Linked DNA regions of Drosophila melanogaster. The protein of the gene in region 3 purifies or fractionates together with the protein of the main gene of each other region. This does not show direct contact. Each region holds a gene or a part of one and is shown on either strand. Other genes may lie near its edges.

What was found.
Region 1: the proteins of Mob4 (region 3) and Fgop2 purify together in Drosophila melanogaster (affinity purification with western blotting; 2 studies listed by BioGRID, with this or other methods). This does not show direct contact.
Region 2: the proteins of Mob4 (region 3) and Strip purify together in Drosophila melanogaster (affinity purification with western blotting; 2 studies listed by BioGRID, with this or other methods). This does not show direct contact.

The regions. Positions count from the first base shown.
Region 1 is NT_033779.5:6,942,664-6,947,131, forward strand, and holds Fgop2 (fibroblast growth factor receptor 1 oncogene partner 2), read right to left. Parts: upstream 2,627-4,468; 5' UTR 2,471-2,626; intron 2,407-2,470; 5' UTR 2,334-2,406; coding exon 1,386-2,333; 3' UTR 515-1,385; downstream 1-514. Other genes in the region: ihog (interference hedgehog), read right to left, coding at 3,090-4,468.
Region 2 is NT_037436.4:3,322,741-3,330,768, forward strand, and holds the start of Strip (striatin interacting protein), read right to left. Parts: upstream 6,132-8,028; 5' UTR 6,130-6,131; coding exon 5,959-6,129; intron 5,887-5,958; exon of another isoform or gene 5,703-5,886; coding exon of another isoform or gene 5,511-5,702; intron 5,444-5,510; coding exon of another isoform or gene 5,120-5,443; intron 4,814-5,119; coding exon of another isoform or gene 4,613-4,813; exon of another isoform or gene 4,603-4,612; intron 3,973-4,602; coding exon of another isoform or gene 3,892-3,972; exon of another isoform or gene 3,525-3,891; intron 3,297-3,524; exon of another isoform or gene 2,898-3,296; coding exon of another isoform or gene 2,862-2,897; coding exon 1,960-2,861; intron 1,897-1,959; coding exon 186-1,896; 3' UTR 170-185; intron 103-169; 3' UTR 1-102. Other genes in the region: Gtpx (glutathione peroxidase homolog with thioredoxin peroxidase activity), read left to right, coding at 4,613-4,813, 5,120-5,443, 5,511-5,702; CG14961 (uncharacterized protein), read left to right, coding at 7,402-7,914, 7,971-8,028.
Region 3 is NT_033778.4:6,694,483-6,698,557, forward strand, and holds Mob4 (MOB kinase activator 4), read right to left. Parts: upstream 2,180-4,075; 5' UTR 1,918-2,179; coding exon 1,858-1,917; intron 1,784-1,857; coding exon 1,410-1,783; intron 1,362-1,409; coding exon 1,112-1,361; 3' UTR 632-1,111; downstream 1-631. Other genes in the region: CG3270 (uncharacterized protein), read left to right, coding at 1-589; Rab2, read left to right, coding at 2,402-2,447, 2,934-3,093, 3,567-3,903, 3,964-4,062.

The DNA.
Region 1 (4,468 bases), on a different chromosome or scaffold from region 3:
CGTATGTGCCTATATATTTATATAGCTTTAATATAACCGTCGATTGCCCGAGCACTCGAAATACTTATATAGATGGCTGCCATGCGAACCGGGCGCAGTTCCTTGGCACTTTTTTTTCGGCTGCGAACGCGTTGAAAATCGACGAGAAACTAAATTTAAATTATTTCTGAAAGCTTCAACTACCTACCAGTCGTGCGAGAAAAGTGTTTTCCTCAAGAGAACCGATATTTTGGCGCAGAGAATCGATGAGAGCGATTCGAAAATTATTCAAAAATATTCAAGTCCAAGCCAATTGAAAGTTTCAGCCATAAATCTTTACGGGTATCCATATAATATTACTTTTACACTTCAGGTTCCATATTTATCAAAATTACAAAAATGTATTTGATAGAATTAAAGAAAAAAAACACTGTAACTAATAATAATAATAATTACTTCAATAATATCTATTCAAAAAATTGGTTTTCCTAATTTTCCATATTGATTAATAACCAAATTAAACTTAAACAATACAATAATGAAATTATTTAAAATTTTTTAAACCCCAATATTTTGCCTTTGGAATCTTAAGCTTCTAAAATTATAGTTATTACTGCTGTTTTTTTTTCTCATGGCAGATTCTGTTCAACTTGGTTCATTGTGTAATAAGTTGACTTTTTGAAAATTAACATGACTATATCATAAATCTTCTGCTCGATAACCATTGATAACCATTGTGGCAAATGTTAATTTTAGTGGCTATACTTTATTCATATTTAAACTCCACACAAGTATGTGTGTATATCAAGTTCTGATCAGCCTTACTCGATAAGCAATGAGTCATATCCAATGAATTATTTAACCGCTTCTCTGTTTGGCTGGGATTTAGAATGGCCAAATTTAAAAAGCCTTCTAACAAAAATATTCAAATTCATGGGAGGGGCGCATAATAGATGGGATTCTACTCGTAACATCTTTTGGGAAATAACTTAAGAATTAGTTAGCTTACGGAGTAGCAATCTAAAGCAAAGTTACATCTTATTTAAATACACTACTGAAATACATTTGTATGTTAAATTAAATATGCTCATTCCTTTGGTTATTCCCCGATTTGTATTGGAATTTATTTAGCAAACCATAAAATCGACAGGGTACATTGTACATTACATTTGTGTGGGTGTGAGTGTGTTTACCTCGTTTTAAATAATAAACTTCATTGTTCTCAATGCGTATGGACAATATGTTGAAATTCGTATTATGTATAAATTACTTAGAGATTATCAATCGCTAAGAGCTAATGCAGGTTATGTGGGCCCTCTTCGTGCGCGGCCTGTTTTGTGAGTGGGTGAGTAAATACGATTCAAATGAAGACCAAACGAATCAACAACGTTGCACAGCAGCACCTATCATGTTGCGGGCGCTACTGTCGCCTGATCCTCGACAGATTCGTTAGACGTCGTCGCTGGCGGCGGTGCACTGGTTGTGTTGACTGCAGGTCCGTTATTGTTATCATTCGCCAGCGGCTCTTCCCCCGGCGGCGCCGTCTCCAATGTCACACTTGGTGCTTGTGTTTCACTTTGACTATGCACTGGTGCAGTGTTAAATGAGTTCGTGGTGCCGGCGACTTTAGCCGGTTGCTCCGGACTGCTGTACATCTGGATAACCGAGTTGTTGTTCATGTTTTCCACCGAGGCGCCCGATATGGACAGATCGTCGGCGGAGTCGTCCGCCGTACTGTCCGTTTGCACAGCCTTCTCCTCCAGCAGGTGGTCGCTCTCACGAATCGGTCGCTGCGAGGAGCCGTACTGCTTGGAGATTTGCAGCAGCTCGCGCAGCGTTTCGTTCTCCAGACGCAGCTGGGATATGGTCTGCAGCTCTCGCTGCACGACACCGTCATCTACACTTGCAGCTAGCTGCATCACTGCTGCCATTTCGTTGATCTTCTCGCGCTGCTCCCGGATCACCTGCCACATGCGTTCGTTGTACAGCTCCTTAAAGCTAAACTTGCTATCCAGGACCTTGGAGACGGTGTGCTCGCGATACTTTTGCATCATCAGCTCCATGGCACGCTCGTAGTCCTCAATGAAGATCTTTAGCTCGCGATTCTCTTTGAGTATCTCCGAGCTGTTGATGTTTTGCTGCTGAATGCGATTCACCATGTCCGCGTTGGTCTTGTTGTTCGAAATGCGGTTGAGTGATTCAATGTCGTCCTGATACTGGCGAAGGCTCTCCACCAGCCGATTGTTGTTCTCCGCCTCCTCGAGCAGCGCCGTGCCCAGGGCGTCCAGGTCCTTCACCCGACTGGCCATGCGCTGCGCATCCATTATAATCTGGCCCACGGATAGGTTCGACATCCTGCCCAATTCAGTCCAGTTGCGATTTTTGGATTTGTATTGTTTTCGGGGGCCAGGCCCTCTGCTGCTGGCACTGCGAAAACAAAGGGAACCGCTTAAATTTGTGCACTTTCTGGGGCCTACGAGCAGTGTCTTACGTTCGGTGCGGGTAAGGTGCAGCTTCGTCCCTAGCGTAACAGCTTCATTTGATTTTCCGGCCAAAATATGTAGGAATAGAAACGATTTTAATAGAAATTTTGACGACGACCCAATTATTGGCTGACAGCTTATTAAATCCCAAACGCCATCGGATGTTGCACAAATCCCTAACGCCACTCATTGAATGCGAAAAAATACTGTTTCAACACTTGATATACCGCAAATATACCAAAGATTTAAATTATAATTTTGTTTTTTAACTTTTAGCTTGAGATGTCATTTTTTTGGCTAAATCCTTTATGTTTATGTTAAAAAACTCTTTTAAGGTTAAAAGGTGAAGCTACAAGCTTTATTGTCATTTTTGTATAGGTCATTAAGAAGCTATCAGTACAGATTTTGATCTTATCGCGAAAAATGGAAGACTTAGCGTAGAATGGACATAATGCTATGTTCTTAAACGATCATGCATACATAAATCTAGTTATGTCTATTTAAGTACCTATTTAAGTACAAACAGCAAAGGTTTTGTCATTCAAAGTGGTAGATAAAACAGAGGTAGAGGAATAGCATGGTACATCGGGCGTAGGGATGCACAGACTAAAGATCACGAGATTGCGATTACACGCCAACGCTGTTGAGGCTGCCGGAGGAGAGGTTCTCGGAGCGACTGGACAGACGGGGGCGTTTCATGAGTACACGACCCGGCTTGCCGGGATTTTCGATGGAACCCGCCTCTGCGGATTGATTTAGATTGTTGTTGTTGCCGTTGTTGGAGCCATTGCTGCCGCCAGCACGTTCCAGCGTGCGTTGTGAGCGACGCAGCGAGGAGGAGGACATCCTGCGCAGCGTGGGATCGTAGTCATAGCTCGACGGCCGCTGATAATAGGGCGCATCCTGGTCTGTGTCATTCTTCTCCTCCAGCGCCTGCTGCTGCTGCTGGGCGAGTGGATTCAAGGTTATGTGGATGTGTCGTGTTCGCTGGCGCTGCTTGGTGGGCGAGCAGTTGCCCAGCGGCACAAAGTCATCTCTCAGCTCCGCCATCCGTGGCTTGTTTGGATTGTTTCCCCGGCTTCTGGAATTCCTACGCCGGCAAACACAGAAACAGGTGCTAATCAGAAGCAGAATGAGCACTGCCCCGCCGCCGATTGTTCCCGTCAGCATGGGACTCATATTGAATGTCTCGTTATGACTGGGAGTTGTTGTATCGCGGTCGCCCATTTGCAGTGTTGGCTCCTCTGTGGTGCTGGTTTTGGGACGTTGGGTGCGCCCCTGCTTAAGGGCACTAAATTCGGATGCAGAGGCGGCACTGAAGGACTGCAACTTGAACTCGTACATGGTGGCCGTCTCGAGGGGTGCTATTTTAAAGCTTCTAGCATGGGCTCCTTCAATGGTTGCCTTGAAATATTCCCCTGCCGAGGACGAGGGTCGATAGTAGGCGTAGTAGCCAGTGATCAGGTGTTCATCCGCATCGCTGGCTAGACTCCAGTGCAGCACCACAGCGGTTTCAGAGTATTCCTCGATCTCCAGAAGCTCTGGCACCGGCATCGGATCAAGTGCTGCACCTGGCTGCAGGTAAAATTTCGCCGAGGTATTACTTTCCTTATTGTCATTGTTGGAGTAAACGGCTAGGATGCGGAAACGATAGGTGTGCTGAGGCTTCAGGTCCGTCACCGAAGCCGTGAAGCTCTTGCCCAGCTCGGAGTTCCACTTCGGTTTTCCATACGGTATATTATCGTTGGTTGTCTGCCAGTTCTTGCGCTTGCCAACCATGCGGTACTGAACCTTAAAAATGACAATTGGTAACCCATCGTTTCGGGGCACCATCCAGCGCAACATTACGGATTCATCGCTAAGTCGGGTTACATTTGGAGGAGTCGGTGGATACATCTGCTTCTGCCTGGAACCCTGATTGGGCTTGGGCCTGTGTGTACCCCCCGATTCCCGGGGTTCCTGAATCTGCTTGGGATTCACCTGCAGCAGTGTACCCGCACTGTGCT
Region 2 (8,028 bases), on a different chromosome or scaffold from region 3:
ATCGTGGTCGGGCTACATGGATTATATCAATGTACTTCTTAATGCTTACAATTACGTTAATAACTTCTTGCTTTTATGACGCGCATGTGGATATTAGAGCAGCTGTAATTCAAAAAGGAATCACGTAAATAAAAGTGTGACGGGGCACATGCGGTATGCAGTTGCTCACCGATGGCAGCCCTGCCCTAGAGGGCGTCCCAGTCGGTCTGACTGTTGTAGACCTCCTCCTCCAGCCAGACCGCGTAATTGGCCTTGAAGTAATCCGTCAGCTCGACCTTGCGATCCCACCAACCCGAGTGACCGAAGAAGGCAAAGTCCGAGTGGGTAAGGATCTCGTCGCTGGGAAAGCCACCCTCCACACCATAGTCGTTGAGCTGCTGCTGCTGGTTGTGGCCGCCATTGCCACCGCCACCGTTGTTTCCATAGCCATTTGCGTCGCCATTATTGCCACATCCATTGTTGCCCGCCATCATGTTGGATTGCTGGGCGTTCTCCGCATTCTGAGCTGCCGTGCCGTTGTTTCCACACTTCTGGGTGGCTTCCGGATAGCGTCGCAGGTTGAATCGATCCACGCAGGCCCGCAGCGTACACTCCTCCGCCTGGAAGTCCCAGGGACGCGACTCCAAGTCGTTGCCAAAGGCCCAATCGTCGTTTAGACGATGCCGCACCTTGGCGTAAATTGCACTCATGGTCTTCATATTGGACTTCCGCCACTGGCGGCCCAAGTACTTGGTCTGCATCTTGAGCAGCTTCAGCACGTACAGCTGCATCATGGCGTGGCGCACCTTAAGCGTCTTCTTCAGGATTGGTGCCGACTTGAATACCACCAGCATCATCACTCGCGAGTGCTTCCACTTGATCAGCTTGTTGAGGATGCGCAGCAGGTTTATGCAGGAGAACACGTTCCGCCAAGAGTAGGACTTATCGGACATCTCTCCGCCATACACAAAGCTATCGCCACTCAAATCCGGTTGCTCACCAATCACACACGACGGGAAATCGAGCAGAGGAATGGAGTTCTTGGTGTTCACGTACTCCGTGATTGTCTGATTGAAGAACTTCAAAACCAGCGGGATGCAGTTGGCGAACACGAGATGCTGCGACATGAACTCAAACTGGTAAACATGGTTTATCTTGAAATGCTTTAAATATAGCAGGATGATGGCCGAGACAGCCTTCACAATGATCTCCTTGTGCCGACCAATGTCGACGGTTAGCTTTGTTGATTGGGTGGCCGTCAGCGGCATCTTCCTAGGCAGCACATCGGCCATTATGTTGATGCTCTCCGTCTTGGACTTGGACGTTGGCGAAGCTGCCAGCAGGACCTTGAGAAGGGCGATCATATACTGCGGCAGGTTTGGCAGGATGGCTTGGTACAACACCTCAGCCGGGGTCAGTTTGATTTCGTCCTCGTGCGTGGAAATGGGGTTCCTAGCTATGTCCTCCTCCTTCTTAATTTGCACATCGGCCAGGCTCATATACATGTGCCGCTGCAGCGTCTTAAAGCCCTCGTGAATGGGTTGCGGCAGTCCAGCCAGACTCTCGTGGTCACCAATCAGTGAATACCCGATGAACTTATTCCGCGAAATGTCCAGAAACTGGTCAATGTCCTTTTGTCGCACCTTAGGCGTCCAGGGCAGGCGAGCCGTGATCTGTACCGGAGGCACAGCAGCGGGTGGCTGTGTTAGGCTAGGCTGGTTGTTTGGATTTGCCGTCGAGGTGGTGGATGCCGACGAAGAGGGGTCATCGTAGGGTCGGTAGTACTGAGAGAGTTCTTCCTCCCCGTTTCCGCCATTGCCGCTGCCATTGTTGGCATTATTTTGACCCTCGTTGCCGCCCATCTCCATGTCTATCTGCTCGGGCTCGTCCAAAAAACGCTGCTTCATCAGGGAGCGTCTGTGCGGCAAGGAAAATGAATGTATTGAAAAGTGTACATAAGTGATCTAAGACTCCGCTTACTTGAAGTTCCGCTTGGGATACTGGTTCTCCAGTATATCAGTAGCTGTGGCCGGCGGTGAGCTGGCTCGCATGCACTTGGTAACCTCCAGCGTGTCCTCGGTGATGGGTTCCAAACCCACCTTCAATCGATACTCGTTCTTGAGATTCTTGAGCACATCCATGCCTCCCAGTCCCAGCAGCGAAACTTTCCACAGCAGGAGGACAACCTTCTTCATGGGGAACTGCGGTGCTGCGCCACTGCAAAACCGTGTGATCATGCCCAACAGCTTGACGGCCAGAAGTTCGCCATCTGGTAGTGGTGAGTTGATTTCTTGCACAAAGGAGTCGGCCAGCTCTCTGTAGTCTTCGCTGCCCTTTTCCTTTTCATCGCGAATCGTTTCTGTGATGATGTAGAGCACAGATAGGATCACCCGAATGTCCGTGGAGTCCACAAGCGTGACGTTAGTGATCTTGACGGCCACAATGTCCGGAGAGCAGGCGCTTTCGATCTCCATGTTGAGCAGGTCGATGAAGGAGGCGAAGACGCCGAGTTGGTAGAGCACCAGCACATTGTCCCTGGTGATCTGGTGCTGCTCCTCGTCCGACTGAACCTCCGCCCAGCAGCCTTGGGCCAGGTAAAGGATGCACCGGGCGGCCTGCATGCGAAAGGATCGATCGGAGACCTCCAGCTGGTCCACCAGCTTCATCACGATGCCGCGCTGGGAGGCGGAGTCCTGCTTCTGCCAGTTGGGCGGCAGGTCGTACAGCTCCATCTGGTCCTCGAAGGCCTTCACGTTCATCTGAAACTCGCTGAACTCCGTGTAGCTATACAGTTCAGCGATCTCGTTCTGATAGCCATCCACGTCCGCGTACACGAAGTCCAGGTCGGGCCCGTCGCAGTTGGCGTCCGCATCGTGGGTGTCCTGCTCAAAGGAGTTGTTTATGGATGTGAGCATCATTCCGCCAATCCTTTTTCGCCACACAGGGATCTCTTTTGTGTGGAAGTGTATGTGCGTGAGTGTGGGCTACTCGTGTATGTGTATCCTGCGGCGGTGGGCGGTGCGCCTGGCGTGGGCGTGGTTGCTCCTGCTCGCTGGTTTTCTCTCCCACTTGGTCTTAGTAGCACATGGACGTACTAAGCAATTCGCACTGCATTTCACTGGGTAATTTCGACTGCAATTTGTTTCTCGCCAAAAACAAAAACGCACAATGGAAAAAGAAGAAAATTCGTACGACCGTTTGCTGTGTGGTCGGAAAATACCAAACAGCAAATGGTGTTGGCCGTCTGGCAAGGCCGTTCGATCGGATGTGGCAGCGACTGATGCAATTGCCGCTGCTTTAAATTTGAAATAAGGGTTCTGTTTGATTTGTACTAATATTAGGAATAGGGATTGTTTCATTTTGATATTTTGTGTTTACAAAATGATAATCAATAGTAATGATATATACAATTTGAAGCTCTAATTAAAGGCTTTTACTTTCATGCTTAAATTTAGAAAGTAGGGCTTAACCACCACACTTGGCAACTCTGGAAAAGTTGTGCTCCTAGTGTGACCAGACCAGAACATTACAAGTGCTTTCACCTACACATATAAATAAGGGTTTTTGCAAGTCGCCGGTTTCAGTTTTATTTACGCTTCGAAAGTGAGAAAGTGCCCAGTTCCATTAGTCATTGCTATTACGCCATAAGTAAGCCCAAACAATAATACCCAGCTGTCGAGATTAAGCACAGCATAATCAGCCCAAAAACACAGCTGGTCGAGGTGACAAGAATATATGTATATAGAGCAGGGAAAACAGTCGAATCGAATCTGAACTTTGCTCCCGATTTTCGCCCATATCAGCGTGAGCTTGCAGAATCTCGGCATTCGCATTCTATATTTGTATCCCTGCATCCGAAACTCGCAGCAGATCGTTGTGAAATCGTACACATAGTCGATATATAGCTCAGTAATGGCTGGCCGCTCCATCGTCCACTTTTTTCTGGGGTCCGTGGCAATCGCCCTGGGATCGTACATCTACTTCACCATGCAAGTAATTACCCACAACACTAACTATCCCTTCAAATTGCTGTCCAATCAACTCGAACAATGGCATGCATGTGCAATCAGCGACGGTAACGAGGCAGCGTCGTGGGTTACGTGGGCCAATCCTGGCCAGCTTAAAGGTCACTGTGCGTAGCCACTAGGTTGCGTGACTCACAGGGTGCTGGGATATACATATATGTACATATAGCTCTTGACTTTGACCCCGATGAATTATGCAGCGTCACTGTAACCAGAAGCCTGATAGCACCCTCGTAAATGTCTATGAAACAACATACAACTATTAGGAAACCCATTATCAAAACGTGAAATAATCTTGGATGTTTGTCGTCGGGTTGTCGAATACAATCTATACACCACATACATTTCCACACTTTCTTATTCGGAAATAAGATAGCTTTGAGCTATCTTACTACTTTACTTACTACTTGCTCTTATCTACTTAACTATTTCGTTAATCAGTAGAAATGTGGACTTGATTTTTATATTTTCCCATTTGAATTGTTTTGAAACGATTGTTGTTCGATCTGATACACAACGTACACATCCACACCAGTAATTCCTTCACTTGCCTAAGCTTTCACTAAATTTGAACATTCTGCCCGGTTATTATTTGCAGCATTTAAAGAATGAGTCTCAGGCAGTTTCAGAACATTTCCCGCCAGGCCCTCAGGTGCTACTCGATGAGGCGGACCCCTGGCCCCGTCCTCGAGCTGAGTCGCGGTCAGAGGCAGTGCCTTCGCCTCTGCACCATCATGCTTCCCGTGAGCTGTGCGGCCACGCCCATGAACGCCATCTCCTCAGCCGCCCAGCACTCCACAGCAGCTGCCGTGAGTAGTGCTGATTGCTAGTTGACTAGATCCTAACCCGTTGACTAACTCAGTTGCTTGATTCTGCGCCTAACTAAACGTTGTAGCCTTTGCCACTGCCTGTGTTCTCTGTTCTCTGTTCTCTGTTGCCTGTTCACTGCAATGAACCGCGTAGCCTGGGTCGATTTTGATACAGAATATAGTGTTTCATACCCCGATTGAAGATAAGGCTATAAATATCTATATCTCTTGATCAAAACATCGACCCAAGCCTTCACAGCCACTAGTAATTACCCAATTCTAACTCCCACTTTCTATTGCTTCCAGATCGACATGTCTGCTAACGGAGATTACAAGAACGCCGCCTCGATCTACGAGTTCACCGTGAAGGATACCCATGGCAACGATGTTTCCCTGGAAAAGTACAAGGGCAAGGTGGTCCTGGTGGTGAACATCGCCTCCAAGTGCGGCCTGACCAAGAACAACTACGAGAAGCTGACGGATCTAAAGGAGAAGTACGGCGAGCGCGGCCTGGTGATCCTCAACTTCCCGTGCAATCAGTTTGGGTCCCAGATGCCGGAGGCCGATGGAGAGGCCATGGTGTGCCACCTGCGCGACTCCAAGGCTGACATCGGCGAGGTGTTCGCCAAGGTAAGACTATTAAAGCTGCTAGCCGATTGCTGTAGACCGAGTCACTAAACTTGCCCCACCCCCGCAGGTCGATGTGAATGGAGACAATGCGGCGCCGCTGTACAAATACCTAAAGGCCAAGCAGACCGGCACCCTGGGCAGCGGAATCAAGTGGAACTTCACCAAGTTTCTGGTGAACAAGGAGGGCGTGCCCATCAACCGATATGCCCCGACCACCGATCCCATGGACATCGCCAAGGACATTGAAAAGCTGCTGTAGATGTGCCCTAGACGTTAGCTGCTCTTTTGGACTGTGTTTTCGCGTAGCTTTAGCTTGTAACCGTCTGGCCACAGATAGTCTTGTGGCCGGCCACATGCACCGCATGGTATATATATTGTCTACTCCTTACTGGTTTTGATTCCCACCCGCAAACATAATAAACGCCATTCGTGGTTACCACACTATCACCTGGGTGTTTGGCGACGCCGGGCACGTACTTTGATCGGTAGTTGGAACTGTATCAATTCGGACTTACCGTGTCAACGCTGGCGCGTTCAATCCGCTTGCTGGAAGCAGCAATGGTGTTAAGCACGTTGATCCTAGACTGGATGGACTGCATCATCGAGGATCTGGCGTTTACGGCGCCACAGCTTAACTGGTTTTTACAAGTGTCAAAAAGGAGTTTATTTTTCTGTTTCCAAGCCATATATATTTGTTAGGTGACTGTGAAATTTGGAGATGTCATATTAAGGGAAAAACGAAATTCACAAAAGAAAGGTATGATGTTTTCAACGGTAGAGCACAATTTTTGAAAACTTGTTCAACTTAATGACCACGAAAGCTCGCATTGTTTTAAAACTAATTAATCTTTGAAAGGACCTTGATCAATTAGTCTGAGTTTTAGATTTTAAAACCCATATTTGCCTTTCTCTATAATGATATTCAAAACAAGTTTGCTTTAATATCCTTTAGATATTTTTGAAAGAAAAGTTACTTTTTCTGTGAGTAGGCAATATCTGTTTTAAAATATTCCCCCTTACCAATTTGACCTTATTGGTGGTTACTTTAAGTGCAGAAAGAAGCAAAAGTACTTCACATTAACCTTTACCTTCTTTCCGAATTCGAGTGCTCCGAGTGTTCGCCAAATGCTCGCCAAACTTCGATTGCGCAAGTTTGCCTGACCAGCACCCCCAAAACCAACAAATGCGAATCCGTCAGCCCATTGGGGCGCCGATCTCGAGCTGCTCCTCCTCCAGTGGAGCAGTTCAACGTCTCGGCCGGATTTCAAGTTCAAACCAGCTGCCAATGGAGCGGCGACTCCGACCTTCCGACAATTACATGAAAATGCTGCACTCACCATTTACGGATGCCATCGAAATTCGCAGTGGAGATCAGGCGGAGAAAAACCAAACTGATGAGCTGGAGCGAAATTAAAGATCTCTATTGGATTAGCTTCTTTTACCCGAAAGAACTTTTCCCAAATTTTCCCAAGAAATTATTTTAATAAAATCGCATATTAAATGATATATCTGTGATATATGAACGAACTTAGGCCCCTTTTCTCTCAGTGCTGGTGCGTGCCACACAAGTGTGAAGCGATGACAGCAATTTGTTGAATGCATCATCGCTCAAATGCGATCGCTCGAATGCCTTTAATTGTAGAACTAGGTTAAGCATCTGAGACTCATCCCTAAACAGTTTGGCCCAGGTCAGTAGCGAAGCTATCGAAGCTATTGTCGCCATAGTGTGTATGCATTGCTATTCCCAGTGCTGCAGTTGACTTTGACACTGATCGCGATCGCGATTGCGAATGCGATCGCTCCCCCAATTTTGATTCCGAATCCACCCAAAATCCGTATAAATATGCGGAGCACACTCCACTATCGATCAGACAGCGGTCAGCTTTGGTGGTGGTCAGCAGTGATTGGACACACAGCTAGGATTTTTGACTTCGGATTGGTAACAGGATTAGAACAGGATGTTCCGAGGAGTGCTGGTGCTCCTGCTGGTGGCCTGCAGCCAGGTGGATGCGGCCACCCATGTCAACATCTCGATTGCACAGCAACCGGCCACAAATCCGGCGGATGTGAAGTACGTCGATGGTATGGCTCCGGCCGAGCTGAGGGCGGGTCCTCAGAGGGATGAGGATCAGCAGTTTCAACGCATCCAGGAGCGACAGCAGCAGGTGCTATCCCAGTCCCAGCAACAACAGCAGCAACAGGTGTCTCAAACCCAGCAGCAACAGCAGCCCCAGCAGCTGTCTCCTCGCCAGGGATTGGGATTGCAGCCGCCAGCTCAGGGTCAGTCACCTATGTCCAAGAACGGACGACTGCCCCGTCGCCGGAATCACAGCCGACGCCCCTCCATCCACCAGCAGCCGCCGAGTCCTCATAGTGGCCAGTTTCGACAGCGCAACCAGCAGCTCCGCCAGAACCAGGAGTTCGAGCGGTACATCCAGTCCTACCACAGCCATGGTCCCACCGTGGAGACGGTAAATGGAAAGAAAGTAACATGTTGAGCCAGCAAGTTAACTACCTTACCTTCCAGGTCTACGAGTCATCGAATCCGTCCCCGCAGCGCTATACTCAAACCAGCTCCGGAATAA
Region 3 (4,075 bases):
CTCGGGTCAGGTGGCGCGTCTGGCAGGGATTGGTGATAAGGAAGCAAAGGAGGCTTCCCTGAGTGTAGCCCTGCCGGTGGAGCCTCGCAAGCGATACGTCTATGTGGTTAGCACTCAGGGTAAGAATTGTCCTGGGCTAGCCACACCTCTGACCGTTGATCCCGATGGCACCTACTTCAGGCGGGACGGTCTTTGCGGCAACTTCCTGTGCGGCCGCAGTCCAAACGAAGACGAGGAGCCGGAGTGCGAAACGCTGGACGTGGACCACGGGTACTTTGAAACGGATGTCTGGCCCACACTGGCGAACCGAGTTCCTGCTTTTGAGTCTGTGAAGATACAGAGCAGCTGGGCGGGCTTCTATGACCACAACACATTTGACGCAAACGGCGTCATCGGCAGGCATCCTCACTACAGCAATCTCTTCATTGCCGCAGGCTTCAGTGGGCACGGCATTCAGCAGACTCCCGCCGTGGGTCGAGCCATTTCCGAACTAATCTTGGACGGCAAGTTTACCACACTGGATCTGTCGCGCCTCGGCTTCGAACGCCTTGTAAACCAACAGCCTATGCACGAAGTGAATATCGTTTGACAAATTTATCACAGGAGGATCGTACTTGCCCTTGGTGTGTTTATGTATGTACTTCTTTTATTGCAATTTCTGTTGTGTATATAGTAATTTTGTATAGTAAAGTTCACGTTTTAGTCACGTACAGCTGTGTTGGTGTTTTGGCTGCCAGTAGTCAAGGGAATTTAGTTTAGTTTACGGGGATTTGACGTGGAATCAGCCACGAGAAGGTCGTGTGCCTACATATAATTTATTAAAATAAGGAGTTAAACATAATCGTAATATAACTTGCGAAATAATTGCTGACTTAGGATCAGATGGGGCGAGCGGGTTTGAGGGGGTCTGCCCTTGTTACTTAGTTATCGTTATGTAGCTCTATGTGTATCTGACATCTAAACTACATACAAGATCTGCATTAGAGTCGGGTCCGCGTGGAATCGTTTCCCTGTCAGGGTGAGCCAACCCAACTTGCAAGCTATTGGTAAATATAAATAGATGTATGTTGAATGAGTGTTTCATGCGAGTCTGACTAATCTGGGCGGGCTCCTAAGCCTCGCTTTCGCCAGGGGCCGCGTTTTCACCCACGTTGATGGGCACGATCAGATTCTCCTTCGACATCAGATTATATTTTGTGACGAAATGCGTGAAACGGTGGCACAGATACGTCTCGGCCTCGAATTCGTCGAAAATGCGACGATGGTGAAAGTAGGCGTGCGAGAAGATGCGATACACCCGCCGACATACGGAGCCCAGCTTGGTTACCGACGACTCCTTGATGGACACCCTGGGAGAGACACTTTGCTTATTATGTGGCTAGTTCAACCATGTCGCTAAGCCTGCATACCTGCTAGGGAAGTACTTGTTGCTGTTTAGCAGACAGGCGGCACCGTCCAGCGTGTGGCGTGTGTAGTCAATGGCCGGACATTCCTTGGGCGTCTTGTGCGCGGCGCACAGGAATATCCACTGGTCAGTGGCTGTCATCTGGGTGCACGTCGACGGCGAGCACTCCTTCTGCAGCCGCACTGCCAGGCCGTTCAGCTCCATGCAGAACTGGCGCAGGTGCTCGTACTTCCACACGCCCTCATCCTGGGCTTCGGGCATGGTCAGTATGAGTTCCACGTTGCTCGGGTCGCGCTTAATCAGCTGCTGTATGTACTGCTGCACCGCCAGCGTGCTGTCCATCTCCTCCAGGGGCTCGTCGGGCCAGCGACAGAAGTCCTGAAAGGCGAAACGGAAAACGGGTCAGACGGGCCGGGCCGGGATCGTTGTTCGGACGCCATGTCATCGCTCACCTTGGATTTTGTGCCTGGCCGGTTCCTACGCAATATGGTCGAGCCGTCAGCCATCTTCATGTTTCACCCGCTCGAAGACGCGATGATCCACAACGTCTGTGCCTACGCCTTGATGAGAAAATCACTGGCAGAAACTGAATGCTAGCCTGGTCCCTGCCCCGCGGGAGTCTCCGGATGTGGGATCCCTGCACCGTAGTATGCTGAGTGTATTCTACAGGAGCTGGCACATCGCTTGACAATTAATTGGCGTTTATCCTCCAAAACACTTTGCTTTGTGCGAGAAAATTTCTGACAAATTCTACATACATACATATACCTATCGATTGGCCAGCGGCAGTGCGCATCGTTATCGATAGGGCGATTGCAGCCTTGCGGTATTTCGGTATTTCCGCCAGCCCTGGCCACAAAGTGGCCACACTGTCGCTAGCCAGTCATCATAAATACGAACAGATTGGAAAACGTACAAGAATTGCGTATTATCTGTGGCATTACGAGATCGTACTTTCTAAAAACTAGCTTACCGTAACCCCCGTCAGCTTAAAACATGTCCTACGCGTACTTGTTCAAATACATCATTATCGGAGACACAGGTGAGTGCAAGCTGCGACTTCCTTTGAAACGGAATGGCCAGTGAAAAGTTGGCCATTGTCAGGGAAACAATCTGTAATTGCAAACAACACAACAAAACAAAGGGCATCGCAGGCGTAGGGGTCGTACCCGAAAATCAAAAAATGGGGGTTTCAGGTGGTCTCAAGTGAAAAATTGATACCGTGAGATCAAAATTGCGTCGGCAGGAAAATATTCCTGGAGTCGGTGGGCCGAAGGAAAAATCAATAATACCATAACAACGCATACAGGCGTTTGCTGCTCTCAGAGTTAGTGGTGCGCGGGGAGCAGCCCACACATAAACCCTGCTGCTGACTCACCCAACCACCCCCAGTAATTGAGGGATTCCGCCCCAAAGAGCCACGGGCTTATCAGCACTCTGCTTTTCGGGATGTCCAACAGCTGTTGGCATTTTCCAGCCTGTCCCACCTTTTCCCCGCTCGCCCACTAACCCTTTTCCGTTTCCGCAGGCGTGGGCAAGTCCTGTCTGCTGCTCCAGTTCACGGACAAGCGATTCCAGCCGGTGCACGACCTGACCATTGGCGTGGAGTTCGGAGCACGCATGATCACCATCGACGGCAAGCAGATCAAGCTTCAAATCTGGGACACGGCTGGGCAGGAGGCTTTCAGGTACCCACTTCTGTTCATTTAGTGTTAATACTTAAGAAGGGATAAGTGAAAGCTCAGATTACTTCCAAAATTGAACTGAATAAATTTTTGCAAATTTCGTATCCAAAACCCCAAGTCCAAGGCGGATAATAATTCGGCTCGTTTTTTATATTAAATAAAATAATTTGAATAAAATTCTTACTTAATGATCCAAAATAATAATAATATATATATATAGAGCCTTTAGTAAAAAGGCTTAATAATTTGTATTCAAAAAATTTTATTTGCTTCATTTCGGCACATTGTTGATAGATGTTTATTTAAAAAAGTTTTAATTCTATCATTTTTAATTTTTTGTGATATAAATTTTTTATACTTTACTTAAAATTAAATAGAAGTCGTCAGACAGAAATTTAATGGGTTACTAATAATTAAATAATATAAGCACTGTCATTTATATAACTGTATTGTGACGCAAAATATTTCTTGAATAGATCTATCACACGCTCTTATTACCGCGGAGCTGCTGGCGCCTTGCTGGTGTACGACATCACGCGACGGGAGACCTTCAACCACCTGACCACCTGGCTGGAGGATGCGCGTCAGCACTCGAACTCGAACATGGTCATTATGCTGATAGGCAACAAGAGCGATTTGGATTCGCGGCGTGAGGTGAAGAAAGAGGAGGGCGAGGCCTTCGCCCGCGAGCACGGACTGGTCTTCATGGAGACTTCTGCGCGCACAGCTGCCAACGTAGAGGAGGCGTTCATAAATACGGCCAAAGAGATTTACGAGAAGATCCAGGAAGGTGTCTTCGACATCAACAATGAGGTAAGAAGGATACATTTAACTTAGAAACTTCTTGCCACTACATTATTATCTCGTTACTAGGCAAACGGCATTAAGATCGGCCAACAGCACTCCCCCACAAACCCGTCGCTCCCAGGAGCCGGAGGAGCAGCTGGAGCAGCAAACAGTGGCTGCTGCTAGGAGTAAACCGCAG